Saccharomyces cerevisiae S288C: one gene and its partners. The protein of the gene in region 4 interacts with the protein of the main gene of each other region in a biochemical or structural test. Each region holds a gene or a part of one and is shown on either strand. Other genes may lie near its edges. The genes, in order: CMD1, ERS1, GSF2 and CMK1.

Region 1 (5,663 bases), on a different chromosome or scaffold from region 4:
ATAAATCAGCATCTTTCATAGCAAAAATCAGAGATTCATGAAGCTCCCTTCTATCAACAAATTTTAACCCATTTACATTGTGTTGTACTAATTCGTCAAGCACTGGATAGTTCATTGCAATAACAGGAAGACCTGAGCCAAACATATCTAAAATTTTCATTGGCAGGTCCAACCCTGAACTTGAAGTATGCAGGGAAACTCCGTAATCGCATAATTGTAATAACTTTGGGTAATCCTCTGCTGACAACCACACAAATTCGATTTGACAGCGCTTCCAGTCATATTCTTCTACTTGCTTCATATATTTCTCCTTTAGTGGTCCTTTACCCGTTATAAAACACAAGATCTTAGGCAAACTTGAATCAAATTTGACATAAGAGTTTTCGTAAATCTTTAGGGCACCTAATAAAATACCAATATCTTCATCAGGGGTGAATGATGTTGAAGTCACAATAATTTTATCGCCTTTTTCTGTATCAAAATCATCGCGAATATAATTCTTTATAAAGGCTTTGGTAGTTAGGGCTTTTTGACGAGAAATGTCACCTGCCAAAGGTTGAAATTGGGAAGCCGGGCGGTCGTAGAGAACAGCACATCTCTTTGGATTCAAGTGAAAGCTTTGAATTAAATATTTCCTCATTGCTTCAGTAACAGTCAAGTTATAATCAGCAAATTTGCTGAATATCATCTCTACCATGTAAGATATCAACACTAAAGGATGGTAAAAGTTTCCTTTAAATTTTAGTTGCAATATCGAATATGCTAGATTGTGCCAATCAATAATTAGTTTACAACCGGTCAACTTGTATAGCACAGCAATCGGAAGAATGGGTATGCTCGGTGGATTTTGAACTAGTATGTAATCGCTTCCTCTCAATTCCCAAAGTAATTTGAAAATACTTAAAACTTGAAAAAGCACCTTCTTTACCATAAATATAACTGATGTTCCGCCTCCCTTTCTTTTCAAGTTTGACATATGATGGACGGTGATATTTGGATCACTGGAAATAATTTTGGGTAGAGTGTCCTCCACATAACCGCATAGCTCGACTTGCCAACCTAACTTACTGAAACTTATAGCGTGATAGCATATCCTTGGAGAGTGTCCTACATCACCCAGCACAAATATGATGATCCTTTTTTTGGTCGACTTGTTGCCATAAAACAAGTAGGGTATAACATAATAAACCACTAACGGTATGGAAAGGTATAATATTATTAAGGCAAGTAACCACCGAGGAATTTCCAAAAACATTTTCACCAATTGACTATAGCCCCTAAAATGCCGTTACAATTACCCTCTAATGGCTTTGCTAATTGCTGATTGAAAGATATATGACCAATTAACTTGATGATTGCTATATGCGCGTTCTATTGAAGCAACGTGCAAGATGATCACTGCTTGGATTGACCTTGTTTTAGCAACAAGCCATACAAAGATATCAGACAGGAAAGTCACAGTCAAAGCATGCAAAAATCGACAAAGCAAACATAAGTAGAACCTGAGAACATCAACCATATGTCCTAATGAATTCAAGCACCCTCTTTTCCACCCAATTTGAGACATTTTCAAGATGTATTTATATTTTCGTGTACTGTGATATGACTTTATTCTTAGAATTTTTTATTGCCCGCGTAAGAAGGTGTTTAACAAGAGATCTTGTTAACTCACAAGGGTACTCTGACTGGATAGAAATCTTATTCTTGACCGGAAACTATCGAACTACAAAGAAAGAGCTTAGTTAATACAAATAAAAAAGTACAATGTCCTCCAATCTTACCGAAGAACAAATTGCTGAATTCAAAGAAGCCTTTGCCCTCTTTGATAAAGATAACAATGGCTCTATCTCATCAAGTGAATTGGCCACTGTGATGAGGTCATTGGGTCTTTCGCCCAGTGAAGCAGAAGTAAATGATTTGATGAACGAAATAGATGTTGATGGTAACCATCAAATCGAATTTAGTGAATTTTTGGCTCTGATGTCTCGTCAACTCAAATCAAATGACTCTGAACAAGAACTACTAGAAGCTTTTAAAGTATTCGATAAGAACGGTGATGGTTTAATCTCCGCCGCTGAGTTGAAACACGTGCTAACATCCATTGGTGAAAAATTGACTGATGCCGAAGTAGATGATATGCTAAGAGAGGTTAGTGATGGATCAGGCGAGATCAACATTCAACAATTCGCTGCTTTGTTATCTAAATAGGTGCATCCTTGTGATTTTTTGCTCCCGCTATCTTACCCTTACCATTCTGGTTTTATAGTATTCGTTGAGTATCGTTTCATCTAAAGTTTGACAACCACACGCAAATATATACTGTACGTAGACAGGGTTAATGTTATTTATGTAGATAAGTAATGTTCCTGAGAAGACAGTTTAAATAAAGGATACGGATTGTTTACCAAGGCGGATAACTAAATTTAGCCAGTATTAAGTTCAATGTTGCGTAGCTATTTCATTATTTTAATTTATGCAGTCTGTCATCTTCTTGAGGAACAACATTTCGTTTGTATCTTTCAAAAGGATTTAAGTTATCGTCAGCAGCAGAAATATCTCCCGAATAGGCCCTCTCCATTTCAATAGGTCTTGGTTCGAGCGATTTTAGTAATGGCTTTTTCTTTGGGACCACTGGTGGCTTTTTCTTCAGGTTATCATTCTTTTTTGGGACAACAGGCGGCACTTTCTTTGGACTAGACCTAGAAGGTGGAGGCCTTGGTGGAGTAATAGACCCCGATGCAGACACATATTTTTCATCTAGATCTGAGGGAACAGGGCTAGAGTCCTTCACTTTTTTCGAACCGCCTAACTTTTCCAAATTAACGTTTGTTTTTCTTAATTTGATATGCGACAACTCATTGGTAATGGAGTTTAAAACTTCATCTTGTCCAGTTGCTTCCCTAGTAAGTTCCTTGGGATATTCATTGGCCTTTAAAGAAAAATTTCTAGGTTTTGGCTTTACAACAGGAGGAGGCGCCTTCTTCGTAGACTGTTGCGCTTGAATAGACGAAGTTACAGGAGGTATTGACTTTTCATATTTATTAGCATCTTTTGAACTATCAACTTCGGATGTTATAGTACCCTCATGTAACTTCTCAGATCTGGATGGGGCCGGAGGGGTTGGCGCTCTTTTTCTAATAAAGCTGTTGGGGGCATCACCCAAACGACCGTTTTCTGTAGAATTCTCACTCTTGGGGTTGTATTCATCACCATCATGGTGCTTAGCTATACGCCCACGCCCACGCCCATGATTTGCCTCAGGTCCGTCGATAGTATAAGAACTATCACTAGAATTGGACGATTGTGAACGCCTAAATGGTTTTGGTGGTGGCTGGAAGTTTTGAATAGGCTGTGTCTCCATATGAGCTCTTCTGAATTGAGATTGCGATTGCGGTTTCGATTGAGGTACCAACGATGGTTCAACGTTTCTATCTTCCTCAGAGGGGTGCCCTGGCAAAACTTCACCCTTCATTTCTACAGGTGATGCTTTACTATTCTGATTTTGTTTAGTTTCAGTATGTCTAAATGGCTTCGGTGGAGGTAAAAAATTAGAAATGGGATCCTCCTGTACATTAGCGGCATTCGTTGACAGCACCGACTCTGTCCTCTCAAAATTGCCTCGTGATGGGGGAGGAGGAGGCTCAACATTGTTCCGAGGAGGTAGAATTGGCACTGCCCGTTCTGGTGCGTTCTTCGTGGTGTGCTCAGAAGGTACAGAATCAAGTCCATGTCTGAAAGGTTTTGGAGGTGGCATGATGTTGACATCTACATCATAATGTCCTAAAATGGACGACTTGGAGGTACTTTCATCGTTTTCTTTGTTTCCAGAGTTCCTTTCATTGTCTGCAGTAGTAGTTCTTGAATGCTTTGCTGGCAATGAAGCCGCCGAAGAGGTTGTGTTAGGCTGTATTTTCCCACTTGGCGCAGGTTCCTGGTGTACAACTGCTCCTCTATCCCTATGAGTGGGAGGTGGTGGAAGGCTACTAACGTCTACAGTGGGAATATCGATTTTGGGCTTCGGAGCAGGTGCGTCTGGGTCAAATGGAGTAACTTCAAAATGTGGGGTTGAGCCAGTAGAATCAAGAGAAGGCTCAATCGGATAGATGTTTCCCTGTTGCATTGGTTGCGGTGGCTGTGGCTGCATTCTTACAGGCACAGGCGGTTGTCCACCGACTGGAGGCTGACCTTGCATGGGTGAAGCTCCATAGCTGGGGTTCGAATCTTGCATGTTTGTAGTACTTGACATGGCTTGGCCATAGACAGGCTGAACCGCAGCCATCCCAGAAACTCCTTCCACGTTCATTTGTGGCAACAAAGCGTTGTTTTGGTTCAGAGGCTGCTGTTGCTGTTGCTGTTGCTGTTGCTGTTGCCCAAAGCCATTTGACAGAGGCTCTCCGGGCGCTGGCAAGATCACTTGACCGCGCGGGGGCGGTAATGGTTGCCCTTGTTGTTGCTGTTGTGGTTGTGCAGGTGATGGTAAAACTTGCTGGCCAAACTGTGTCGTGGGCTGCTGCTGTTGGCCCGATGGAAATTGGGATTGTCCGAGATTGGTTGAGCCATGTGATACGTATTGCGGCTGCTGATGACACTGAAGACCGTTCTGGAAAGACGGTGATGGTGCCGGATTACTTGATTGGGTACCATATTGCAGATTTTGCGAGACAAACCCTGTGCTTTGCTGAGAAGCAGAGTTCAGAGATACCTGACTTGGAATTGCATTTTGGGGTTGATTTTGTTGCGGCAGCGACTGGTAGCTGGTTGCATTAGAATTTGACCCATACGGTGGTACTTGCTCTCCATATATAGGCGGCTGCTGTGGCACTACACCTTGTTGCAGCTGCTGTTGCTGTGGCATTACACCTTGTTGCAGCTGCTGTTGTGGATACTGATTATACTGTGGTTGTGCGTATTGTGACTGTTCCGTCGATCCTGCGCCAGGTTGGCCTTGGTATGCACCCTGAAAAGCATAACTGGCCTGACCATTTGGCATTTGCTGTTGCTGTTGTCCTGTATAAGTTTTTTGTCCAGGTTTCAAAGGTGGGGGAGGAAAGGACTTTGGGTCTTTTAAACTTCTTATATCGGTCGGCTTTCTTTCGTACTCCATCTCATCTTCGCTATCATACTCCTCATCACTTGAATTTTTCTTACCACTCTTCCTTTCCCTACGCGCTTTGCTGTTGTTATAGTGCTTCTTACTTGCCTTATACCCTGTCTTGGCAACGTACTTTGTTCCTTGGTAACCATATTTACCGGCGCTCTTCAGCCCTGAAGTGATGGAATCTTTGTTGTTCTCCCAAAATCCCATGCTGGTTGATAACTTGATTTTTTTATGAAAGACCTCTCTCGAACATACGATTATGTAAACTCAAAATGACTTTATCCATATATGTATACACTTAATTTAGATGATGAAATATAAAAAAATAGGGTGGTCCCTGGTTTTCCTGAAGCGCGATTTAGGCAGATCCAGTGGTACTACGGGAAAAAAAAATGCCGACACCGATATGAAATAGACAACAACCATAGTGGGATGATCTGGTCGACTGCATGGTTGATTTGATTGTCTATAGGTATCAACGTACTTCCTTTGGATGGAATGCCTTATACTTGGAAGTTTTTAGGAATCAGCAAGCAACTTTCACTGGAAAATGGTATAGCAAAGT
Region 2 (7,960 bases), on a different chromosome or scaffold from region 4:
TTATCGAAATTATGGGTCTGTTGCTACAGTTAATCAGAAACAACAACGTTTCGTTCTTGACCACCTCCAAAATTGGTCTAAATTTGATCACCATTTTGATTTCTCGTGCCGCATTAATCAAGCAAGATTCATCAAGATCTAATATTCTTTCCTCTCCTGAAATCTCCACATGGAATGAGATTTATGATAAATTATTCACTTCATTGGAAAGTAAGATTCAGCTGATTTTCCCTCCAAGGGAATATAACGACCACATCATGCGTTTACAAAATGACAAGTTTATGGATGAAGCATACATTTGGCAGTTCCTAGCTAGTTTAGCACTAAGTGGAAAGCTAAACCACCAGAGAATCATTATTGATGAAGTACGTGATGAAATCTTTGCCACTATTAACGAGGCGGAGACCTTACAAAAGAAAGAGAAAGAATTGAGTGTATTACCTCAGAGGTCTCAAGAATTAGACACAGAGTTAAAATCTATTATTTATAATAAAGAGAAACTATACCAAGATTTGAATTTGTTCCTAAACGTTATGGGGTTGGTGTATCGCGATGGTGAAATATCAGAACTAAAGTAAGATTTTTCCTGTAATTTTAATGTACTTACGCATGTATTTTTTTTTCTCCCTTATTTTTTATTTCCTACCCTTTGTAGATCATTTATTGTATATGTTTTTATATAAGTTTATATAAGTTTGTTATCCTTTTTTTTTCATAAAAAACCCGTATTAGCATCAATAATACCACCATAGTAACGCAAGAGTTAAACAATGATTGAGAATAAGGTTGAACTGGTAGCAGAACTAGTGTTGGAGTCCATCGGTAAAACTGAGGTGGTGTCACGCCATACAGAGGGAACCAAATCATGCCAAGTGAGTTTTCGCATTAAAGATTCTCCCAGTGAGAAGGGTTCAACATCGTTTCTCTCTGAGCTAGTGGTGATTCAGACTCTGGATGACAATGACAAGTATACTGTTGTTATTCGTCATGGTACGTCGATCACCATGGCATGTGTGGTGGGTTACAGCGATTTTAAATTGCCCACAGAATTGAAATGGCCACTAGAAAGAGAAAGCTTACCTGTGGAGCCAGACCTGAAACCTATAATGACACAACTTAAAAGACAAACTGCAGGTAGTGCGGACATGCCAAAATTTGACGATGAGTACCAGGCACAAGCAAGACAAAACCAGGGAACAGCACCGTTGAACCCATATCCCGGACTTACGGTAACTGAACCGAGCTTCGCTAACCCAGCAGGAGGGTATGCGGATGGTGATCTGTATCCTGTTGGCACAAGCCATCCGGATTGGTCTGGAGGGCTTCCCAATCCTCTGGGGAATCCAAGTAGCCAAGGCGGTATGATTTTCGATCCAAATAGAAGACCTGCCCCAAGACGGGAAGATATGCCGCCAGGATGGATGCCTGGATCCAAGTACGACGAACCATTTGGTCCTGGATCTGGCGGATTTGGAGGTTCAGGATCCGGCGGATTTGGAGGGTCAGGATCTGGCTTTATTTAAATGGGTGTTTATTTTAGTACTTTGTTTATTGTGATATTTAGTTTTTAGATAGTATACAGACATAGCTATGTCGAAAGGGAAGGAAAGAATTTATTGAGCGCTGGTATATACAGCTAAAGTGATATCATTGCGTTTGTACAGGTGTACGAGTAGCGAATCTCCTTGAACTTGAGCAAAACCTTCTGCATCCAGCGTAACTTTCGATAAATCACCGATATCTTCGATCCTTTGACTGCCCACGCCGGTAGACTCTATAACGTTACCGTGAGTATCGAAAGCAATGGTTCCCTTAATATCAGATTGTTTTTCCGCTTCCATCTTTGATTTGGTTTAGGTGATTTGGTTTGAGGTTGTGGTATTGCCCTTTAATAGCGGAATCCTTTATATTTTTTGATAATCTTGAAATTTTAAGGTGAGTTTCCATATGTAAACAAGGGAAGAAAAACTAAAAGCAAACAAAAGCAAACGCGAAGCAAAATGGTGTCGTTAGACGATATACTAGGTATCGTGTATGTTACGTCATGGTCGATATCGATGTATCCACCGATAATCACCAATTGGCGCCATAAGTCAGCGAGCGCGATATCGATGGATTTTGTCATGTTAAATACGGCAGGTTACTCTTACCTGGTCATATCCATATTTTTGCAATTGTACTGCTGGAAAATGACGGGTGATGAGTCTGACTTGGGCAGGCCCAAGTTGACGCAATTTGATTTCTGGTATTGCCTGCATGGGTGCTTGATGAATGTTGTCTTATTGACCCAGGTGGTAGCTGGAGCGAGAATCTGGCGATTTCCAGGTAAAGGTCACCGCAAGATGAATCCATGGTACCTAAGGATTTTACTCGCATCACTGGCCATTTTTTCACTGCTAACCGTACAATTTATGTACTCCAACTACTGGTACGATTGGCATAACTCAAGAACTCTGGCGTATTGCAACAATTTGTTTTTACTCAAAATATCGATGTCACTAATCAAGTACATCCCACAAGTGACGCATAACTCGACAAGAAAATCTATGGATTGTTTCCCCATTCAGGGTGTGTTTCTAGATGTCACTGGCGGTATCGCCTCGCTGCTCCAATTGATTTGGCAGTTGTCTAACGATCAAGGTTTCAGTCTGGATACGTTCGTGACAAATTTTGGAAAAGTGGGACTGTCAATGGTAACTTTAATATTCAACTTCATCTTTATCATGCAGTGGTTTGTATATCGATCTCGAGGCCATGATCTGGCGTCAGAGTACCCGCTGTAGCACACAAGGAGAAATCTGCATAATTACGCATATATATATATATATATATATACATAAATATACATAAATATATGTATGTATGTATGTATGTGTGTATGTATGTATGTACACACATGCATGGTTTAAATAGACAAACCTTGGTGGAATTTATACTTTTTTTTGGTGACGAGGACGTCCGTAAGAGCATCGTCGTCAACAAACCATGATACACGACCAGCAGCACCTTCGTTGACAATACTGCTAGGTAGGCCCTTTTCAGGCCTTTCCATAATGGTCTTGATGATGGGCGCCTTGGTTGCACCTTCGACAACGAAAGTAACCCTGTGAGAATGGCAGATTACAGGTATAGTCAGCGAAATTCTGGTCGAGGGCCCACTAGGAGCGTTCTCCACGGGCACCACCCATGCAAGTTTCTCACGTAGATTGTCCTGGAAGTTAGGGAAGAGTGATGCGATATGACCATCGGGGGCACAACCAAGCAGGAACAAGTCGAACATCGGAAGTTTGACGGAATCTCTACCGGCAAACCCGCGGATTAGCACCTTTTCATAGTTATCAGCGCATTCTTGCGGGTCGTCAATCAATGACTCGTCAATGTGGTACACCTTCGGAGTTCCATACTTCGCCGTGTCTATCAGGTCCAAAATCTTCCTTTTGGCGCATCCATAATTGCTTTCATTCGAGCTGAAGGGTACAAGTCTCTCGTCTGCAAAGTAAATGTCCCAGTCTCCCCACCGTACATCGTCTCGTTTTAGCAGACCTTCGTGTAGCACTTCGATCAATGACCCACCGGAGAGAGCAATCTTGAACCGTTTCTCCTTTTTGGGCTTACTGCTACCACTGCCACTACCACTGCTACCACTTTTCCCTTCCGCGGCAGATGCTGTGCTTTTGCAAGAGGCCTCTCTCGTCATATCCAGTGCATTCATGCTGATGTTGGGAACAGAGTGTTTCCTCTCGTTCTTTGGAGCCAATGCACCGTCTTGCGCGTGGACTACATGGTCAGCTACGGCCTCTGCCACGTCTGAAAACTCGTGAAACGCGAATATCTTGGGTACCGTCGTAGTCATATTGTCTTGCTGCAAATTGCTTTCTGTTCTAGTCCATACCTACACTGGATATGACGATGATGATGCCACTATTATCATTGAAATTTGTTAGGAAAACCCCTGTAGCGCCCGCCCTATTTAAACCTAATTTCCCCAGGATGTCTAATCACATTTTCTTCATTTTTTGGAAACTAGACCTTAACATATTTCGTATTAACCCTATGTCTCGAATTGAAAATTTCGCGGGTCTTTTCTCTTGCCTTGGTACCTTATGTAAAAAAGCGATGCCAGGAACAATAGGATAAAAATAGCAGCAACAACATACGATAAGAATTGAGGATGCTAAGCTAATGTTGTTTTACTTAGGGTGGCTATAAAAGGTAGTTCCTTGTAGGTGAAAATGATGATGGATATACTGAATACACAGCAACAAAAAGCGGCTGAAGGCGGGAGAGTTCTGGCTCCTCATACCATCTCAAGTAAGCTCGTGAAGAGATTATCAAGTCATTCCAGCCATAAACTATCAAGATCTGATTTGAAAGCATTGGGTGGCTCGGAAACAATAAGCGACGGCCCCAGTCAGCTGACTTTTAAGGACCGATACGTTTTCAATGAATCGCTATACTTGAAAAAGCTAAAAAAGACCGCTTTAGATGACTACTACACGAGGGGCATAAAACTCACTAACCGCTACGAGGAAGACGACGGTGATGACGAAATTATTCGGTTGTCTAATGGCGACAGAATTGATGAAGACCTGCACTCAGGTGTCAAGTTTTTCTCCACTACACCTTATTGCAGGAAAATGAGGTCAGACAGTGATGAACTAGCTTGGAATGAAATTGCGACCGAACGGTTCAAATGGCAGTCAATGCTGGCCAGAGTGCTGAAGGGAGATATTGTTAAAGGTGAAAAGACGAGGATTGCTAACCAAGTCAAGAAACCAGGGTTAAATAAGGAGCTCTCAGATGAGATATGGCTCGAATTGAAGGCATGGCTGAATGGGAGGACCATGCAAGAGATGGAACAGTCGCTTACATATTTAAGAGATAGTTCAGATTCCGTTTTTGAAGAGATAATGAAGTTTCAAATTCCACAGGGCAAGATATTGAGCCTGGATGCACTGGAGGCCATCTTACAAGACCTCATGAACAGATATCACAGCGTTGTCTCTTATTGGCCTAACTTGAAAAAAATGTATAAGGATAAACCAATCACCAATACTGCAGAATTTACCGCTAGAATAGACGTAATGAATTCTTGGCTGAACTTTAAAACGAACTTAACGTTGAGGAGGCAAGAGTTGGACGACTGGATAAACCGTTTCTCACCGATAAGTAGTTCGGATAATTGCCAAGAGGATTTTGATGGTGTGCCCCAATGGAACTGCAAAATGAAGATTCTTGCAGAACAATTGATGAAGGAAAAGAACATCGAGTCTATATTCCAAAAAAAAATTTTCTATCCGCTATCACCTTGGATGTTCAAACTGAAACTACATTTTATAGTCTACAGAGAAACTTTGACAAAGATGAACATAAAATATCCTTATGAAAGGTTAAGATCACTACTGGCGTTCCCCGTCTATTTAATCAAAGAAGTTATTTTGACTAGATTGTCATATGCACGAAAGCTTAAAAATCCAACAATGATGATGATCGATCAAATGATCGATGATTTTAACGCTTTTATTCGACTTTCTGTGCAATTGAAGTACACACTGACAAAATATTGCTCCAATTTGCCGTTCGATGTGGATTTTGACCCGACGTTCGAAAATACTGTAATAGAAGCCATTCGTTATTTATTTTTTCTGTTGAATTTAAAGTTGATTGATTCCAGTAAACAAAATTTCAAAGCACCCGATCTACTCTTGAAATACTGGGATCACCTAAAAAACACCGGTCACTATATTAACGGTGCAGAAACCGTGATTCCAAATGAATTTCTCAAGTTAACTTTGAGACTCGTACATAAATTGCAATTCTATCTTTTGAAACAACAAAACTTCCCACCAACATTTGCTAACGCTTCAGAAGCAGAAAAATGGCTAAGTTCCATTTTCGAAAATTTGGGTGCCATGAAAAGAAAGCTGAACAGGTTCAGCAATATTCTAGTCAAGGCGTTCCAAAATTCTGCTGTTTATCAGATTAATCATAATGCACAACTTGTTAAAAAGTTAAAAGATGCTCACTATTTTTTGGTATACTCCGGTAACACTTTTGAGTCTAGTGGTGTATATATGTTTGCTGCTCCTGAATTATTAGGTTGTGACAATGATACCATCTTAAGAATTTTGCGAAATAAATCCATTGGCTGTGATTTGGTCCCAAAGCTTGACATTGGAAATAATTTGAATGTGTATGATATAACAACAAAAGAAACAGATTTGAACATTCTAGTATCGAAAGGGGAGGATTCCAAAGGAATTCCTTACTACCGAGTAGTAGCAAATTCGTCAAGTGATTTGGACAGGCATGCTCATCAGTCCAAAAAGAAGAATTTTTCAACAGACCCTTTTGATCAGCACCTTGATGAAAAGAACAATGAAGTTTTTGAATTGGAAGTTGCTTTGAGCTCATTGGGTGCACTAGTTGTACTATATCCTGGAGAGCCAGTAGTTTGGGATGGACCAGTATATAAGCTTCCAGGTAACAACCTTTTTGCATCCAACGAAATGGATTTAGGGAAAATTGGTAACCCAAATACGTTGATTTTACTCAATCAAGGTTCTAATTATGCACTGACTTATCAAATCGACAAGTTTAATCAAACGGTAGGTGATTCTGTTTCATTCATAGAGAAACGTTGTTCACTCAATTCAATTGAATCCTCCCTACAAAAAATCAATAAGGCATATTACAAACTTACTTATACAGTATTGAACAACTACAAAGGAATTCTAGGTAGCTTTATGAAGCAATGTCCGGGAAATGAGTTGTTAAATTCGATATTCATGTTTGGAAGGGATTTTGGAAGAAGTTTCCTTAAATATAACGCCTTTAGCTCAAAGAGGAAGTACGTTATCATCTTTCTGATGGTTAAATTAGGAATGAACTGGTTGAAATTCCTTGTTGAAGAGTGTGATCCTACCGATCAGCGAACTTTCCGATGGTGCGTTCTTGCAATGGATTTTGCGATGCAGATGACTAGTGGTTATAATATCCTGGCGCTGAATGTAAAGCAATTTCAAGAACTGAAGGAGAGGGTATCAGTATGTATGTCATTATTAATTTCACATTTCGACGTTATGGGTGCACGAGCCACTGAAGCTGAAAATGGCATGCAACAGGCAAGATTGAATATTGATACTGAAGAGAATATTGATGAAGAGGCCACCCTAGAAATAAACAGCAGGTTGAGACTGGAAGCTATAAAGACGTTGGAAAAGACTATGAAGAGGAATCCCAGGCAAATGGGTAAGGTATTGGATGCTACAGATCAGGGAAACAAATACCTACTATCGCTAGCATCCTCATTATCGAATGTATCAATGAGGTGGCAAAAAAGAAGCTTCATTGGCGGTGGAACATTTGGACAGGTATACTCTGCAATTAATCTGGAAAACGGTGAAATCTTAGCTGTTAAGGAAATAAAGATACACGATACCACAACAATGAAGAAGATTTTTCCCCTGATTAAAGAAGAGATGACCGTATTGGAAATGTTAAACCATCCTAATATTGTCCAGTACTATGGTGTCGAAGTACATCGCGATAAAGTTAACATCTTCATGGAATACTGTGAGGGTGGTTCTTTAGCCTCGTTATTGGATCATGGAAGAATTGAAGATGAAATGGTAACACAAGTGTACACATTCGAACTATTAGAAGGTTTGGCATATTTGCACCAATCTGGCGTGGTGCATCGCGACATTAAACCGGAGAATATCTTGCTGGATTTCAATGGAATCATAAAATATGTGGATTTTGGTACGGCACGTACCGTTGTAGGATCTAGGACTAGAACTGTGCGGAACGCAGCCGTTCAAGATTTTGGAGTAGAAACAAAGTCCCTCAATGAAATGATGGGGACACCGATGTATATGGCTCCAGAGACTATTTCAGGCTCGGCAGTTAAGGGAAAACTTGGAGCGGACGATGTATGGGCATTAGGATGTGTTGTGCT
Region 3 (8,342 bases), on a different chromosome or scaffold from region 4:
TGATTTTCGATTCGAACTGCCAAATTTCATTTACTGTTGTTTGTGTTTTTCGTAAAACTATATCAATATTCCTTGTTGTCTTCAAATTTTTTTCATTTAAAAACTTCTTGTAAGATGTGAAAAACCGCGCATACTGATGTAGAGGAACTTCAATAATGTACTCGTATATTCTTTGAACGTTATGCCAATTCTTCTGCCCAACTTCAAATTCTATAAACTTGTCCCAAAAAGGGTGTGATAGAAACTGCTTGCCAATAAGATCCTTTGCAATTTCAAAATTATTCCTAATAAAATCCGTTTCGTTCGGGTTATTAACACACAACACATTCAAATAATCACACCATAACTCCAGAGAAGTTGGGAACCATTTGACCGAGGTGGCCAGAACAGCAATCGATTTCTTGAGACCAAATAACTGGTACTCAATAGTAGCAAACCTCTTCCAAAATCCAAACAATAAAGGGTACTTACGCAATATTTGCCATAAAATAGTTTCCAAGGCCAATTTGATTGAATCATTTGGATTGCCATATTTAACCACTGTTTGCTCTATAACATCTACCATTTGGGTCAACGAAGAAATATCTGACCAGTCTAAACCACGATATGCTTGTACTAATGCTGTGTTGTCTTGAAGGAACTGGGTGTCCAAACCTCGAAGGGCATCAGGCCTAGGCTCAATATCTTCTATTGTAAAATTTGTTTCATCTGGCATAACGAAAGACGGATTGCCAAGTATCCAATAGCAGTAAGGGCCAAAACTTTTTGTTGAACAAAGAAATGGCTGTGGAAGGCGCGTTTTTACTTTAGGACTTTGAAAACTTTCTTGCGTAAATTCTGTTTAAGTCTGAAACTTTCAACTCTGTATTAAATTTGTTTTAAGATGTGCGACGGCGACGTAAAATGGTAAAGAAAAAGAAAATGAATGATAGTAAATCATACTGAAAACGAATGATCTGAAACAATAAAAAAAGATATTTGTATATAAATTATTCAGCCATGCTCAAACCTCCAGATTAAAAATCAATAATGGATTAATTGAAAGCCCTGGAGCTGGCATTTTTTACCACATTGTCTAAGAGGGAAAGGAAAATGACAACAAAGCGCTAAATAATGGAATCAAGTTTACAAAAATTGAAATTCCAGGATATTGACATAAATCTTATTCCTACTGCGAAGTGGACCACAAAATTACAGTATATTCTATACACCTGGTGTCAGTCGATACTACATGTGGCCATGTTTTTTTCTGATATATACACGTGTATTAAATTACTGGCATTTAACACATGGTCGAACAATATCATCCAACCATTCTTGGAATTCCGTATTTCAAAATGGTTGTTTAGCGGATGCATATTATGCTCCTCATTAATATTAATTTGGGAGTTGGTAATTGGATTGAGAGTGTATAGGAAGAAAGAGATTACATCGAACTACATGAATGGCATTAGCAGATTAATAAATTGCTTGTTCAATTTCAAAAAGTATCAAATTTTCGAACTAATAGTGCTGACTGATGAGAAAAAATTCAGTAAGTGGTTATTCTTTTCATATTTTGAAATCAGTGGATGTTTGAGGCTATTGTTCGGTGACTCTCCAAGGCAAATAATCAACGGATTAACTTTGTGGTCAGTTTTACTGACAGTTTCGAATGAGACCAGTAGCGGAACCCATAGTACTCAAAGCCTAGGTAATTTAGATGACCTAAATGGAATAATAAACAAGATAAAACATATTGCTAAGACAAATTACGAAGAAAGTGTGATCTTGTCCTTCATGTTGTTCTCGTTTATCATATGGGTAATTTTAATAAGCAAATTAATTCTAAGCATAATAATATTCATCATTTTTATACGTCCGAGATTTTTGTCTAGTAAAAGGAAGGTTAAGGGGTATGAATTGAAACTACGAAAGTATGTGTCTAAAGTCATTGACGAGAATTTAAGTAGAACTGTCTACGAATTGGGAATATTGATAGATGATGAGGAAGAAGGGACCATATGTGGTGACAACAAAACGCAAAAAAAATTCGATTATGATAGTCCTGATTATGGCGACGAAAGCACAATACCGAGTTACTACTGCTACTCGGATGTAGAAACGTACGAAAGAGTATATACGCCCATAAAGGCATATTTCCCCCAGAAATACAAACATAAATACATATAAATGTAAACGAAGCTTTTTTTGACTGCAAAAATGCATTAAAAGTAAATCGATTCTCATTTATTGTATATATATTGTATATATTGTATGAAATATTTATAATGATAATGATAGTAACAAAAACCATTGATGGCTATAAACAATGAAACAAAAAAAAGCACTACGAAAACAGTAGATTCGTGAGGAATTGAAAAAAAGAGTGAAAAAACTAATAAAAACAACGAGAGTAAATAGGATAGTACAAAAATACTAGGAGTAAAAAAAGGCCCTCTAGTAGTAGTAATAGTAATAGTAATAGTAGTAGTACTAGTAGTAGTAGTAGTAGTTAAAGGCTATGGTTGAATAAAAAAAAAGTCTGGATGGTAGTGTTTTGGTTTTACAATTAATTAGATTTTTTCAAATCATTCTTTTTTATACCAAAAGTAGCATCATTGTTTGATGCTTTCTCTTTCTCATCAGCAATTTCTCTTCTGAGCTTAACTAGCGAGGCCAGTTTTTCATCTGGTTCATAAATACCAAACCTTCTAAACCTCCTAATTTCAGCATTCATCTTACCAATATCCCCGTCATACTCTTCCAAGATCTTCTTTAGATTGTTTTCCAGCTCCACAAAGTATTCTTCACTTAAAATGAATTTCCGTTCGGTTTTAATAGCCGTGAAAGTGGAAGCAGTGAACCTATCTTCTAGAGGACTTTGGAAACCCTCTCCAGCCACAAGTTGGATACCTGGTGCTGCAGCTTTCCTAATCGCGCCCGCTCTATAAGCAGCAACTGCACCACCCATCTTATCTATGACATAGTTGTAATAGTTAGTCTGGTAATCGTCGTAAGTAGCTCTCTTAGCACCAATCCAGCCCAGAGAGCGCAAACGTGTCTTTAAGTCAGTAGTGTTGTTATTGCCGCCAGAATTCTTAGCGCCGTTAGCAGAAGGAGAAGTTAAATCTCTCAAACTCCATAACTTGTAAGGATTGAAGCTGATGGGGTTGGCAATGCCTAATTTGAGGAATAAAGTAATTATGCCCACTTTGAAAATGTGCATGACAAAGAAAAGCCATTGAGCTACGAGACTAGAATAGTTTGCCTGAACTTCTTGTTCGAGTTTAGCGGCAATTTCAGGTAAATCCATGTGCTTGGCTACAGGAATCAATAGTCTAGACAATTGATTAGTCAAACAAATACCTGGGGTTGGAGAAATGGCGTCGGGCAAATCGGTATATAGCCAGGCCAACATAATAATGGTGTATACCCATATGTTTTTCTTGGATAGCTTCCACTCCGGAACAACTAGCTGACCAGGCCACAACTGGTCAATAAGCGGCTTGGAGTCATTCAACTCCTCGAGATTTTCTTCGTTATCAGCTTCATAATGGAACATCAAACAACCACCTTCGGACAGGTACCCTGGATGGATAGACTTATAGAACTTTACGGGCTCCTTCTCATGGAAAATTGATGGTCTCAGCACCATTAAGTCCGCCAAACCCGTCTTGGAAGGGAAAATCTTCTTAATTTTGTTATTTATGGTGTCTTCATTTGACACCTGAAACGCATAGTCGTGCTCGACATCTGCGTTAAGTCTAATGTAAATCTCCATGCTTGCAATCGCCCTCTATCAAAACAAAGTCCACCGATCTCTGCTGCCCCTCTCTAAAAAGGAAAACAATGGCACCATTAGCTTCTTTTCTCGCTTTTTTATAATATTTTCCATCATTAAATGTGGGGAGGTGGCAAAATGGCAGTAGTAAGCTTGTCGCCCCACACGGCGAAGATGCGTAAACTATTTGGGCAAGCTAGCACAACGATGGCTTATGACGGTTTAAAACGAGAGGCTGAAAGAAGAACAAGGAGTGACCATAACATAACAATGGTTGCTAAAGATGATGAGCTATACTTGTACCATCTTACTTTAAAGAAACAGACGAATTTCGTGCACTCCTGCATCGGACACTTCGTCGATCTGGAAGCAGGGTCCAAGCGTGAGCAGTCGCAATTGTGCGTAGCTACTGAGACGCATTTAGAACTTTATGATACTGCAGATGGGGAACTAAAGCTTATTGCCAAGTTTCAAAACCTGTTTGCGACGATAACCTCGATGAAGTCGCTGGATCTGCCGCATTCAGGGTCAAGGGCAAAAGCTTCCAACTGGCCCACTTTTCTAGCGCTAACTTCCGATTCTGGTAACCTAAGTATCGTGCAAATCATTATGCATGCAGGTGCTCTTAGACTTAAGACTTTAGTGAACCAGCCATTGACGAGGACCACCCTTCGAAGAGTCTCTCCCATATCATACATGGAAATTGACCCTAATGGGCGTTGTATCATTCTCTCATCTGTCGAACAAAATAAATTGTGTTTCCTCGTTGATTATGCTCAAAAATTGAGGATTTCGTCTCCATTGGAAATCATCAGACCCCATATGGTAACGCTGGATATGGCAGTTGTTGATGTAAATTTCAATAATCCATGTTTTGTTACCTTAGAAATCGACAATGCCGCTACTCAACTATCAGTACACTTGATATTTTATGTCCTCGAGTTGGGTTTGAATCACATCGTCAAGAAGGCAGATTATTTAGTTAACCCATCTGCCAATTTCGTACTGAGTTTGCCAGATCTATCGCGATATAATATAACAACTTCGCTAAGCGACAACAACTATGATGCTGACTATGATACCCTTTTCAACCCTTTTGTTGTCATAGGCTTCGAAAATCATATTCTGGTAAAGGATATGAACGGATTTTTCAGCCTGAAAGTGGAAATACCCAAAAGATCTATCACAAATAGCCGTCATAAAAATGTAACAATCATATCAGGCATAGTGCAGAAATTGAAAAATGATTTTTTCGTACTTTTACAATCTAACCATGGCGATCTTTTTAAGTTAACTGTAAGTCCAGACACTAATGATAGAAATAGACCTTTAGTTCAATTGTCCTACTTTGATACAATCCAAAATTCACACCAATTACACATTTTCAAAAACGGTTATCTTTTTGCACTATCTGAAATGAATAACAACTTTCTTTTCCAGTTTGAGAAACTTGGTGTAGAGAAAAATGATTTTTCTAATGTTTTAACCTCAAAAGATCCAAATAAGTCGCTAGTTTTCGAACCATCCATAAAGTTGCAGAATTTGAGCATATTATCGCAACAATTGAATTTGAACCCTTCAATAAAATCTCAAATTGTCAGTGATTCGCCACTGTCTATCGCCACTAAACATTTTACAAACAACAAGATAATAACTTTAACAAATGCTGTGAATTACTCTAATTTGATATCTACTAGTTTACCCCCGAACGCAACCAAGTTATGGCTAATACCCGATCCTGCAACAACCGGCGATAACAATACTCTTTTGTTCATAACTTTTCCCAAGAAAACTATGATACTACAAATTGACAACGAGTCCATGGAGGAACTAACACCGGATGAAGCAACGCGTTCAGCTTTCAAGCTCTCTCAGGACACAACAATTCATACATGCCTAATGGGCTCACACTCTATTATCCAAGTATGCACCGCAGAACTAAGACATATCGTACCGACTGGTAAATCTAGGTATTCTAATAAGCTGACTTGGGTGCCACCAGCGGGAATTCGTATTGTATGTGCCACGTCCTCGAAAACACAACTAATTATATCATTATCAAATTACGAATTGGTTTATTTCAAGATAGATGTATCTTCGGATTCGTTAATCGAATTAACCACCCACCCAGAATTGGACACAATGCCCTCTAAAGTTGCGATTGTGCAAGATACGCAGCATGCTGATTTATTAGCCATTGCTGACAATGAGGGTATGATCAAAATAATGTCTCTTAAAGACCAAAAGGAAGATTTTTTAACTGTAATAAGTTTGCAATTAGTTAGTGAAAAGATTTCTGACATGATAATGGTTAGAGATTCCTCAATAGGACAGCTTAATTTGCATGTAGGTTTAGAAAATGGCGTTTACATGAAATTTCATATAGGGGATGTTGACGGATCGTTCACTGACATAAAAAGGCGATTCCTTGGCTTGAAGCCTGTTTCCCTTTCGTATTTGCGTGAGATATCTGTATCACTAAATAATGAGGAAGAAGAAGAAGAAGAAGAAGACGATGATGATGAAAAAGAAGAAGAAGAAATAAATAGTAGTGGAGCTAAATGGATGTCATGCGTGGTTTGCCATTCCTCTTCTACATGGGTAAGCTACACGTGGAAAAATGTGTGGACCATACGGCAGTTAAAGGATCAAAACATGCTAAGTTGTTCCAAATTTGTTAACGCAGATGTTGCAATCAACGGTGTTTGTTCAATATCGAGCTCAGGACGCTTAAATATTGGCAGAGTTTCCAACTTTCCAACTTTGGATAACTGGTTTCACGTTCATGAATCAAGTGTTAACAAGCAAGAGAACGGTGGAGGAGATGAAAGCAATGAAGAGGAAGAAGATGAAATGGAAGAAGAAATGGAAATGTTACAAATATCTACATTCCGACCTCGTACTATTTTATCATTTCCCAATAATCCGAAAAGCATTTTGTTTATTGATAATCACAGTGGTAAGAAACAATGCCGTATATCACTGCAAATTGATGGTGAATGCTTAAAGTTTGGCAGTTCGGATCATTTATACAAGATACTGGACGATATCGATTGCGTTTCCGCTGCTATAATAGATTTCACAAGACAAGCTGATCATTTGATCATTTGTGCTGGCGACAAAAGGCTGTTAACATACAAGATATTAGTTAACAAAGATAAACTATCTTTTGATATTGAATTACTTCACCAAACAGAAATCATTTCACCAATACATGCTATGTTGAAGTTTAAAAACTTCTTGCTGACAGCCATGGGCTCCACTATTGTCCTTTATGGTTTGGGGAAAAAGCAATTATTAAGAAGGTCCGTAACACAGACCCCGGTATCCATAACAAAAATTGTGTCTATGCACCAGTGGAATTATGAAAGACTGGCCGTTGGTGATATACATGAATCTGTCACTTTATTTATCTGGGATCCTGCGGGGAATGTATTTATTCCGTACGTAGATGACTCTGTAAAACGCCATGTGACGGTATTGAAATTTCTAGATGAGGCAACTGTTATAGGCGCTGATAGATATGGAAATGCGTGGACTTTAAGGTCTCCACCAGAGTGCGAAAAAATCATGTCAAATCATGATCCCAGCGAATTATCTAATGGGGCCATCAAGTACCCACTAGACGTCATCACTTTACAGCAGAAATTACCCAATACTTATGATTGCAAGTTCAAGTTTCAACTACTGAACCACTTCTTTGTTAATGATATCATCACTGATTTCCATATCCTGGACAGCCTTTCAAATTCTGATAGACCTGGTTGTATCTATATGGGCTTACAAGGAACCGTGGGATGCTTTATCCCCTTATTATCCAAGGGGAATGTTTTTATGATGGGAAACATTGAGAATATAATGGCTGAGGCGGATGATACGTTTTATTTAGATTATGAATCAAGAAAGAAGAATAACAATATGCGTAAGGAAGACGATGAAGAGGAATCTGGAAGTGTTGTGTTACAAGGACGGCATGGTATAGAGGATGAAATAATATGTGAGGGTTCCTGTTCCATTTTAGGTAGAGACCACCAAGAATACAGAAGCTATTATGCCCCTGTACGTAAAGTTATTGATGGTGATTTATGTGAAAATTTCCTGAGACTTTCCTTGAATGAGCAGGAATTTTTGGCCAAAAATTTAAAGAGTGTACAAGTGGAGGATATAATTCAAACAATCAACGAAGTCAGAACAAATTACATGTAATGATTTTACAGTAATAATACCAAGTATAAAGGCGTGTTAATGTATTTTCTTAATAAATATATGTACAAGGAATATATGATAGCTTTAAATATAAGAAATATAAAATTTCACCTCATCTTTATTTCTGTTTTAAAAGGAAACCGTTTTAATTCATCGATATGCCACCTCTGTACATTTCGTCGATGATTTTACCGTTTTCCAAGTTTTCACATAACAGCTTCAAGTTGTGTGGGTAAACTTTACCAAACCATAATGAATCCAGCTTGTTTTGCATCTTTTCTCTGCCGAATAGTTTATAGAAAATGACATTACCAGCAAAAATATGACCCCCAATATGAGAAATTAAGGCTAGATTATTCTCAGGAAAAAGCTT
Region 4 (7,769 bases):
CGATTTTCACCACGCACGCAACTTTATTGGGTAGATACTTGTGTGCCGCTGGTGATGTAGATTTTTATAACAATCTACAGTATTTTGATGTGGACCAAGAAGCTGGTAAGAGAGGCATATATCATAGGTACTGCATTGAGCGCGCTGCGGCTCATACTGCCGATGTTTTTACGACTGTGTCGCAAATCACTGCATTAGAAGCGGAGCATTTGTTGAAGAGGAAACCGGATGGCATTTTGCCCAATGGTTTGAACGTTGTTAAGTTTCAAGCAGTACATGAATTTCAAAATCTGCATGCCCTGAAAAAGGACAAAATTAATGATTTCGTCAGAGGCCATTTCCATGGTTGTTTTGATTTCGATCTAGACAACACAGTTTATTTCTTTATCGCTGGTAGATATGAATACAAAAACAAAGGTGCTGACATGTTCATTGAATCATTGGCTCGTCTCAATTACAGATTGAAGGTTTCTGGATCCAAGAAGACGGTGGTAGCGTTTTTGATCATGCCTGCCAAAACCAATTCCTTCACTGTGGAGGCACTGAAAAGCCAAGCCATTGTAAAATCTTTGGAAAATACTGTTAATGAGGTCACCGCATCCATTGGGAAGAGAATTTTCGAGCATACGATGAGATACCCTCATAATGGCCTAGAATCAGAGTTGCCCACTAATTTAGATGAGCTGTTGAAGAGTTCTGAAAAGGTTTTGCTGAAGAAAAGGGTATTGGCGCTGAGAAGACCTTACGGGGAATTGCCTCCGGTAGTCACACATAACATGTGCGATGATGCTAACGATCCAATTTTAAACCAAATTAGACATGTTAGATTATTCAATGATTCGAGTGATCGTGTAAAAGTGATTTTCCATCCTGAATTCTTAAACGCCAATAACCCTATCCTTGGTTTGGATTATGACGAGTTTGTTCGCGGCTGTCACTTGGGTGTTTTTCCATCCTATTACGAACCATGGGGGTACACGCCAGCAGAATGTACCGTCATGGGTGTCCCATCTATCACAACAAACGTTTCTGGGTTCGGTGCCTACATGGAAGACTTGATTGAAACAGACCAAGCGAAAGACTATGGTATTTATATTGTAGACCGTCGTTTCAAGAGCCCTGATGAATCTGTCGAGCAATTAGCAGACTACATGGAAGAGTTTGTAAACAAGACCAGAAGACAAAGAATCAACCAAAGAAACAGAACCGAAAGACTATCAGACTTGTTAGATTGGAAGAGAATGGGGTTGGAATACGTTAAGGCTAGACAGTTGGGTCTTCGTAGGGCCTATCCAGAGCAGTTCAAGCAACTGGTGGGTGAAACAATTAGTGACGCCAATATGAATACTCTTGCCGGTGGCAAGAAATTCAAGATTGCCAGGCCTTTGAGTGTACCCGGATCCCCCAAAGTAAGGTCCAATAGTACTGTTTACATGACTCCGGGCGATTTAGGTACCCTTCAAGATGCTAATAATGCAGATGACTATTTTAATTTGAGCACGAATGGAGCCATCGACAATGACGATGATGACAACGATACGTCTGCATACTACGAGGATAATTAAAACCATCTTAACTTCTGCTAACATATCTTACTCTTTTAGCTGAGCATCAAATTAATTTTAGTATTGCACGTTCTGTTATTCTTGTATAAGTACATAGAAATAATAGCAGTAGAAAAAATAGAAGTAATTTTACCTTTACAGTACATATGTGTTAGTATAAGGAACCTTTTACGTGGGATACTTTGCTTACGAAGAAAAGGCTGAAAAAAAAAAAAAAAGAAACTCCCCCCGCGTTTAGAATGGTGCAGCCGAGCTACCTACGCAGGGGATAAAAAGAACGAAAGCCACATCGACTACAAGCCAGAGTATAAATGGTTTCAATTCTCGTAGAGAACTCACAATTATATAATATTGGAAGACACCAGAAAAAATAACGAGTCAATTACTATGGACGACAAAGTTTCAGAAAAGGAGAGCTCCCCAAAACAAACAGAGGAGGATTCTGAAGGTAAAATGGCACATGTGCAGCCTGCTTCGTACGTGAATAAAAAAAAATATGTTTTTGGGAAGACATTAGGTGCTGGTACATTTGGTGTGGTGAGACAAGCCAAAAACACTGAAACAGGGGAGGACGTGGCCGTTAAAATCCTGATCAAGAAAGCACTAAAGGGAAACAAGGTTCAGCTAGAGGCTTTATACGACGAGTTAGACATTTTACAAAGACTGCATCATCCAAATATAGTGGCATTTAAGGATTGGTTTGAATCAAAAGACAAGTTCTACATTATCACGCAATTAGCCAAAGGGGGTGAATTGTTCGATAGGATTTTGAAGAAGGGTAAGTTCACTGAGGAAGATGCAGTGAGAATTTTGGTTGAAATATTGAGCGCAGTCAAATATATGCATTCTCAGAATATTGTTCATAGGGACTTGAAACCGGAAAATTTACTGTATATAGATAAAAGTGACGAATCTCCACTGGTAGTTGCTGATTTTGGTATCGCAAAGAGATTGAAAAGTGATGAGGAACTCCTCTATAAGCCGGCAGGCTCACTGGGTTACGTGGCTCCAGAGGTACTTACTCAGGACGGTCATGGTAAACCTTGCGACATTTGGTCGATAGGTGTCATTACGTATACTTTGCTTTGCGGTTATTCGGCGTTTAGAGCCGAAAGGGTTCAAGATTTCCTTGACGAATGCACAACTGGTGAGTATCCAGTGAAGTTTCATAGGCCTTATTGGGATTCCGTTTCCAATAAAGCAAAACAATTCATCTTGAAGGCTCTTAATTTGGATCCTTCAAAGAGACCGACCGCCGCAGAACTCTTGGAAGATCCATGGATTATTTGTACCGAATTGAAGACGCACAATTTATTGCCTGGGTTAAAGGAAGGATTGGATGCTCGTCAAAAGTTCCGTAATTCTGTTGAGAGAGTCAGATTAAACATGAAGATCCAGAAATTAAGAGATCTGTATCTTGAACAGACAGAGAGTGATTCAGATTTTGACGAAGGAAGTCAAGCAAACGGTTCAGTTCCTCCATTGAAAGCAACGGATACCAGTCAACTATCCAAGAAGCTATCAGAAGAAGAACAGTCTAAGTTGAAGTCCGAGTTAACCAGCAAAGCTTTTGCACAATTAGTTAACACAGTGCTTGCCGAAAAGGAAAAATTTTTAAATATTAACAGAGTCTGTAGTTCTGATAGCGATCTTCCTGGGAGTGATATAAAGTCTTTGGATGAGGCGAAGGAGAAACCAGAGGGGAAGGATACCAAAACAGAAGAATGATAACAGTATGCCGTTTTACCACACTGGCGAATAAATCTTCAATGACTTTGTAAGCTCGAATATGCGCAAGATTTGACTTTGATATTTTGCACTTTTTCGTCCTCACTTTCTACCTTTTTTTTTTATGCCTTAGTTGAAAAGATACGCGTATCTAATTATGTACTAATAGTCTTAATTTTACATTACTTAATTAATCGAAATGCAGCCTGTAAGGAGTTTCACAATCTTCACGTTCGTTGAAAGCTAGTTGTCTAAGTGCGCTGCCTTTTAACTCTACCATCATCAAAAGAAGAATCATTGTCGTTGTCATCATAAATATCAGCTTCGTCGTCTTCTTCATCATCGACATATTCCTCGCTATCATATTCCGTATTATAGTTTACAGTCTGTCGCTGTATCCTTCTCAACTGTCTCTTGCCTGGCTTCATGTCTGCAAATTGCACTTTCATTTGTTCAAACTGACGAAGAATGAAATAGTAATCAGATAAAAATTCCTTTAATATCTGTAACTTCTTTCTCGCAGTGTTATATTTTGCGTCTTTTGGTAGCGGGTTTGTATTTATGGAGGGATTATTATCAGTGGTAGATTTCTGCTCCAATATGTGCGCTTCATTATTCAGTGCTTCTTTTTCTTTTTCATTTCCCTCCTTTTTCTCATCTTGAGGTTTAACAATTTTATAGTCCAAGAACTCCAAGAACTCCAGCAGTGTTGCTGAATCGTGGCATAATTCATACCAATAAACCTTCCCCGATGTATTTCTGCCTCGTGCAACATCATGCGCCAACGATGGTGTGTCATGGTAAAACAATTTGAATTGGGCACTCATCGATTGTCCATCATTTTCAAACAGTGTAAAAGCGTTGTATTCATTATTTTTGAATTTCGATAGCAATGCTTGTAGATTTCTCAAATCAGTGAAGGTGCTCATTTCGAGTGAGTCCCCATAACTGTGTAATCTTGGCATATAAAAATCACCTATATGGGGAACTCTACCAAGGAAGAACTCTTGTAATCGCAATTTATAAAGTCTTTCCGAAAAAGGATTGGCTAATGGTTGATCAGGTAATTCGCCTTCAAACAATGGGACCCACTTGTCGTACAGTGAGAACAAAAGTTCATCCTTTTCGGATTTTACAGCGTTCTTCAATTCCGCTTTAATTTCCTTCAGTATTTCTAGCTTCCTTGATAAATCTGGTTTTTTACCCTCTTTTAGTTGTTTAACAAAATGTTTTTTCTTACTTCTGATTTCATATCTTGATTGAATTAGTGAGCAGAGTTTTTTAAACTGATTTATGGTATTATCTACCCCTTCAATTGTATACCTAGGCACTTGTTGTGTTTGGATGCCAAAAACGGGATCTTTTTTACCATGAGTTAATTTGTATATCTCGTCATGAATAGCAGATGAATGGGAAGCGCACCAGTCAGTTAACGCCCTCAATAAAACAACGCGATCCATTGGTTTGAGCGCCAAAATTCCATTCTTGTCCATTTCTCGATTATACAAAGGATTTGATTCCAATGGGAGTGGTTCATTAGCATTCCAGGTATATATATTTGGCGTTAAAATTTCTGGATGACTGGGATCCACCACTGGTGTTTGTTCATCTTGTTCAAAAAGAGCAGTTTTAGGTTTGGAGATATCTTGGTCACTGGGGAGTTGTTGACGCCATTCTCGTGGATACCCCCATTCGCGAGCTACAAGTCTTAACCGATAAAGAGGATTGGAAAATACTTTCTTGGAGGACGATTTTAGATTCTCCCAGGTTGTTAATGGACCTTTCTTCTTGGCACTTTTACCATCAAAATTTTCAGTAAATGTTAAATCTAACAAGGATAGGAACAGTAAATTCATTTTGTCTTGGCAATAGACGATATCCTTGATGGCCATAAAATCAGGATATAGCAATAAGGAGGTGTCTTCAGGACCCTTCACTATACCAGCTGCGCTTCCATTAGGATCGCCGGGATACAAATCTAAACCGACCTCAAAATCTTGGAATGATAAATTTTGTAGGTCAGAATGGAAAAAAGAACTAAACTTATTTATGAACGCCATCAGCTTAATGATATCTCCAGCATATGGCACAGGCTTCATGTTCGGATTTTTTAACCTAGAGATGACACTATACTGGTTCTTGAAATCAGAAGTAAGCAAGGGTATTACAGAAGTCCAATTGCTAGGGATCAAAGCGGGTTCTACTTGTTCATGGGCTGGTTTAGGTTTCGGCGCCACTTTTTTGTCATTAGTCTTCAGTGTAGGTTTGCCATCCTTAGCAATTGAGGTAGTCTTCTTTTTCTCTACTTTATCATTTGATTTAGAGTTCTGTGTGGAAGGTGCCTTTTTCTTAGGAGGAGCAGGTCTCTTCCTCTTGGGTTTATTCGCCCTTTCCTTTAACTCTTCCTCGTATTCATCATAAATGCTCGTTCTTGGCTTAGGAACACGTCTTGATCTCCTTAAATTATCAGAAGATTGTGAAACACTAACACTTTGATCGGTTTGTAAGGGCATAGCCATTGATACGCGATCATGATCATGGTCAGCAAGCTGTGCGGAAGAGCTGCCCTGGGCTTCTTGCTGCAAATTCTGGATAGAATTGGATGGAGAATCCATAAACAATAGGGGATTGCAAACTTTGCTTGAAGTACTTGGTAAGTGATAGTTTTGTTGGCCGAAACCAATGTGGAAGATATCACCATCTTAAGAAATTAAGTCCATTCATTAGTATAAACTCACGTAATTTCAATGAATTTGTTAAAGTTTCAGCAAATCGTGAAGCACGATATTTCACTTTTATGATCCGAGAGGGAATATTACTAGTACTTCCACGCATAAGGAAAGTCAATGTTAACAAATACCGCCATACCGCCATACCTGTCCTCTGTAGTCACTGCTAATGTTAATGTAAATAAATTACATCTAAAAGTTGTTTTCTCTTCAGTAATTTTAGAAACCGTTAAGAGGAAAAATGGGCACTTCCTTTCTTTGTTTCAGAAATTAAGCTCAAAAAGATGGGCTCGATAAAAGTAGCATACTATTTACTCTATCTTATTTTTATTTTCTATATACTAGTCTATCAGACTCAGACGTCAACGATGTGGAATACGGATGGAATCATTAAATAGTAGCAAGAAGTACTTTATTCTTATTTTTCAAATTGCGGCGCGCCAACAAAACGCGTACAAAAAAAGCAGATTGGATAGTACTTTATTCTTGTTATTTTGTCATTGGAAAGTATAAGCTGGTTGTGGATTACTCTTCACACGATGTGCCTGTTTTTTGTAGGCGGGCTTGTACTTTCTGGGGAGCATGCTGTGTATGTTGTAGGTCTGTGGCAATGTTTGTCGGGAGTGTTCGCTGTTACCATGAGTTGTCTGTGAGTAGTAGCGATTGTAATTGTGGTTGTATCCTACTGGTCTTCTTCGGGAATACCAAGGAATGAAAGAGTTATGAGGAACCTCACTTTGATCCTGGTAATTATTTGGTTGTTGTAGTTGATATTGGCGGGGCTCTGTGAGACAATGATTTTTTTTTGAATATATTTTAAAGCAATCGGCTGATTGGGTAGCCTCAACGCCAAATAACCAAGGAGGGTCGTAGTTATCTTGTGAATGGCTTGAGATTCCCTCATAATATAAAATATTTGCCTTTTTTTTTTCAGTAGGCATTTCCACATTTTCTTGCTTTGCAGGTAAGTCGGTTATATTGATTTCATCCAAAGATAAGGATTTTTGATTTTCAACATGCCTTCTAGAAAATATTTGTTTACCATTCAACTTTGGAGCGAAGAAACTCACCAAACCTGCTTGCTTCAATGGAGATTTGATTTCAGGCGGTGGTTCATCTTGATTTGTTACCGCCAGTTTATCTTGATTGGGATCTAAGGTCCTTGGTAGATCATTAAAAAGACTTGTGATGTCATACACAGATTGGTCTGTGCCCTTAGTTGTTTGTGGATAATTTTCGCCAAGGGAACTTGATGTTTGACTCGTTCCATATAGTTTGAGAATACTGTCTACGTTCTCTATACTAGCTTCTTTAGCTATGTTTTCTGTCTGACTGCGCAGACGTATCAAACCTAAAACTGAGAAAATGCACGCCAATAACGAGCAGAGGGAACAGGGAACAGTTAGCCAGCCACACCAAGTCGTATAAGGATGAAATTGTAACAGGATCACGGTGCATGCAAAGTAACAGGATCACGGTGCATGCAAAAATAGTTGATAAAAGTGTCAATATGTGTAATATAGCGTTGGAAGTAATAAGTGAGACATTAGTTCCTCCAGTCTGAAAAAGAAAAATAATAACCAAGGGAAGTGCAAAAGAAATGAAAGTCAAACATGTAGCAACCGGTATCGAAATCAAAAGTCCTCCTATTGTATGTCTTGCCTTAGGACTCAGCCACCAACGTTCAAGAGAAGGGCCAGGTAATATTTCTTTCGAGGTGTTATATATTAAACGTACTCGAGAGCAG

The links.
Region 1: the proteins of CMK1 (region 4) and CMD1 form a complex in vitro, tested with the Saccharomyces cerevisiae proteins (2 studies listed by BioGRID, with this or other methods).
Region 2: the proteins of CMK1 (region 4) and ERS1 form a complex in vitro, tested with the Saccharomyces cerevisiae proteins (2 studies listed by BioGRID, with this or other methods).
Region 3: the proteins of CMK1 (region 4) and GSF2 form a complex in vitro, tested with the Saccharomyces cerevisiae proteins (2 studies listed by BioGRID, with this or other methods).

What each region holds. Positions count from the first base shown.
Region 1 is NC_001134.8:454,464-460,126, reverse strand, and holds CMD1 (calmodulin), read left to right. Parts: upstream 1-1,764; coding exon 1,765-2,208; downstream 2,209-5,663. Other genes in the region: ALG1 (chitobiosyldiphosphodolichol beta-1,4 mannosyltransferase), read right to left, coding at 1-1,255; AIM3 (Aim3p), read right to left, coding at 2,462-5,305; IML3 (Iml3p), read left to right, coding at 5,597-5,663.
Region 2 is NC_001135.5:242,856-250,815, reverse strand, and holds ERS1 (cystinosin-like protein ERS1), read left to right. Parts: upstream 1-2,000; coding exon 2,001-2,783; downstream 2,784-7,960. Other genes in the region: deadenylation-dependent mRNA-decapping factor PAT1, read left to right, coding at 1-578; FUB1 (Fub1p), read left to right, coding at 771-1,523; EGO2 (Ego2p), read right to left, coding at 1,614-1,841; SOL2 (Sol2p), read right to left, coding at 2,906-3,853; mitogen-activated protein kinase kinase kinase SSK22, read left to right, coding at 4,233-7,960. UniProt on the Saccharomyces cerevisiae protein: Cystine/H(+) symporter that mediates export of cystine, the oxidized dimer of cysteine, from vacuoles/endodomes.
Region 3 is NC_001145.3:173,847-182,188, reverse strand, and holds GSF2 (Gsf2p), read right to left. Parts: upstream 3,764-8,342; coding exon 2,552-3,763; downstream 1-2,551. Other genes in the region: PRP39 (Prp39p), read right to left, coding at 1-715; pheromone-regulated K(+) transporter PRM6, read left to right, coding at 1,114-2,172; U2 snRNP complex subunit RSE1, read left to right, coding at 3,884-7,969; AIM32 (Aim32p), read right to left, coding at 8,115-8,342. UniProt on the Saccharomyces cerevisiae protein: May be involved in the secretion of hexose transporters from the endoplasmic reticulum. Involved in secretion of GAL2 and HXT1.
Region 4 is NC_001138.5:168,061-175,829, reverse strand, and holds CMK1 (calmodulin-dependent protein kinase CMK1), read left to right. Parts: upstream 1-1,952; coding exon 1,953-3,293; downstream 3,294-7,769. Other genes in the region: glycogen (starch) synthase GSY1, read left to right, coding at 1-1,565; IOC3 (Ioc3p), read right to left, coding at 3,545-5,908; YFR012W-A (uncharacterized protein), read right to left, coding at 6,520-6,606; DCV1 (Dcv1p), read right to left, coding at 7,334-7,769.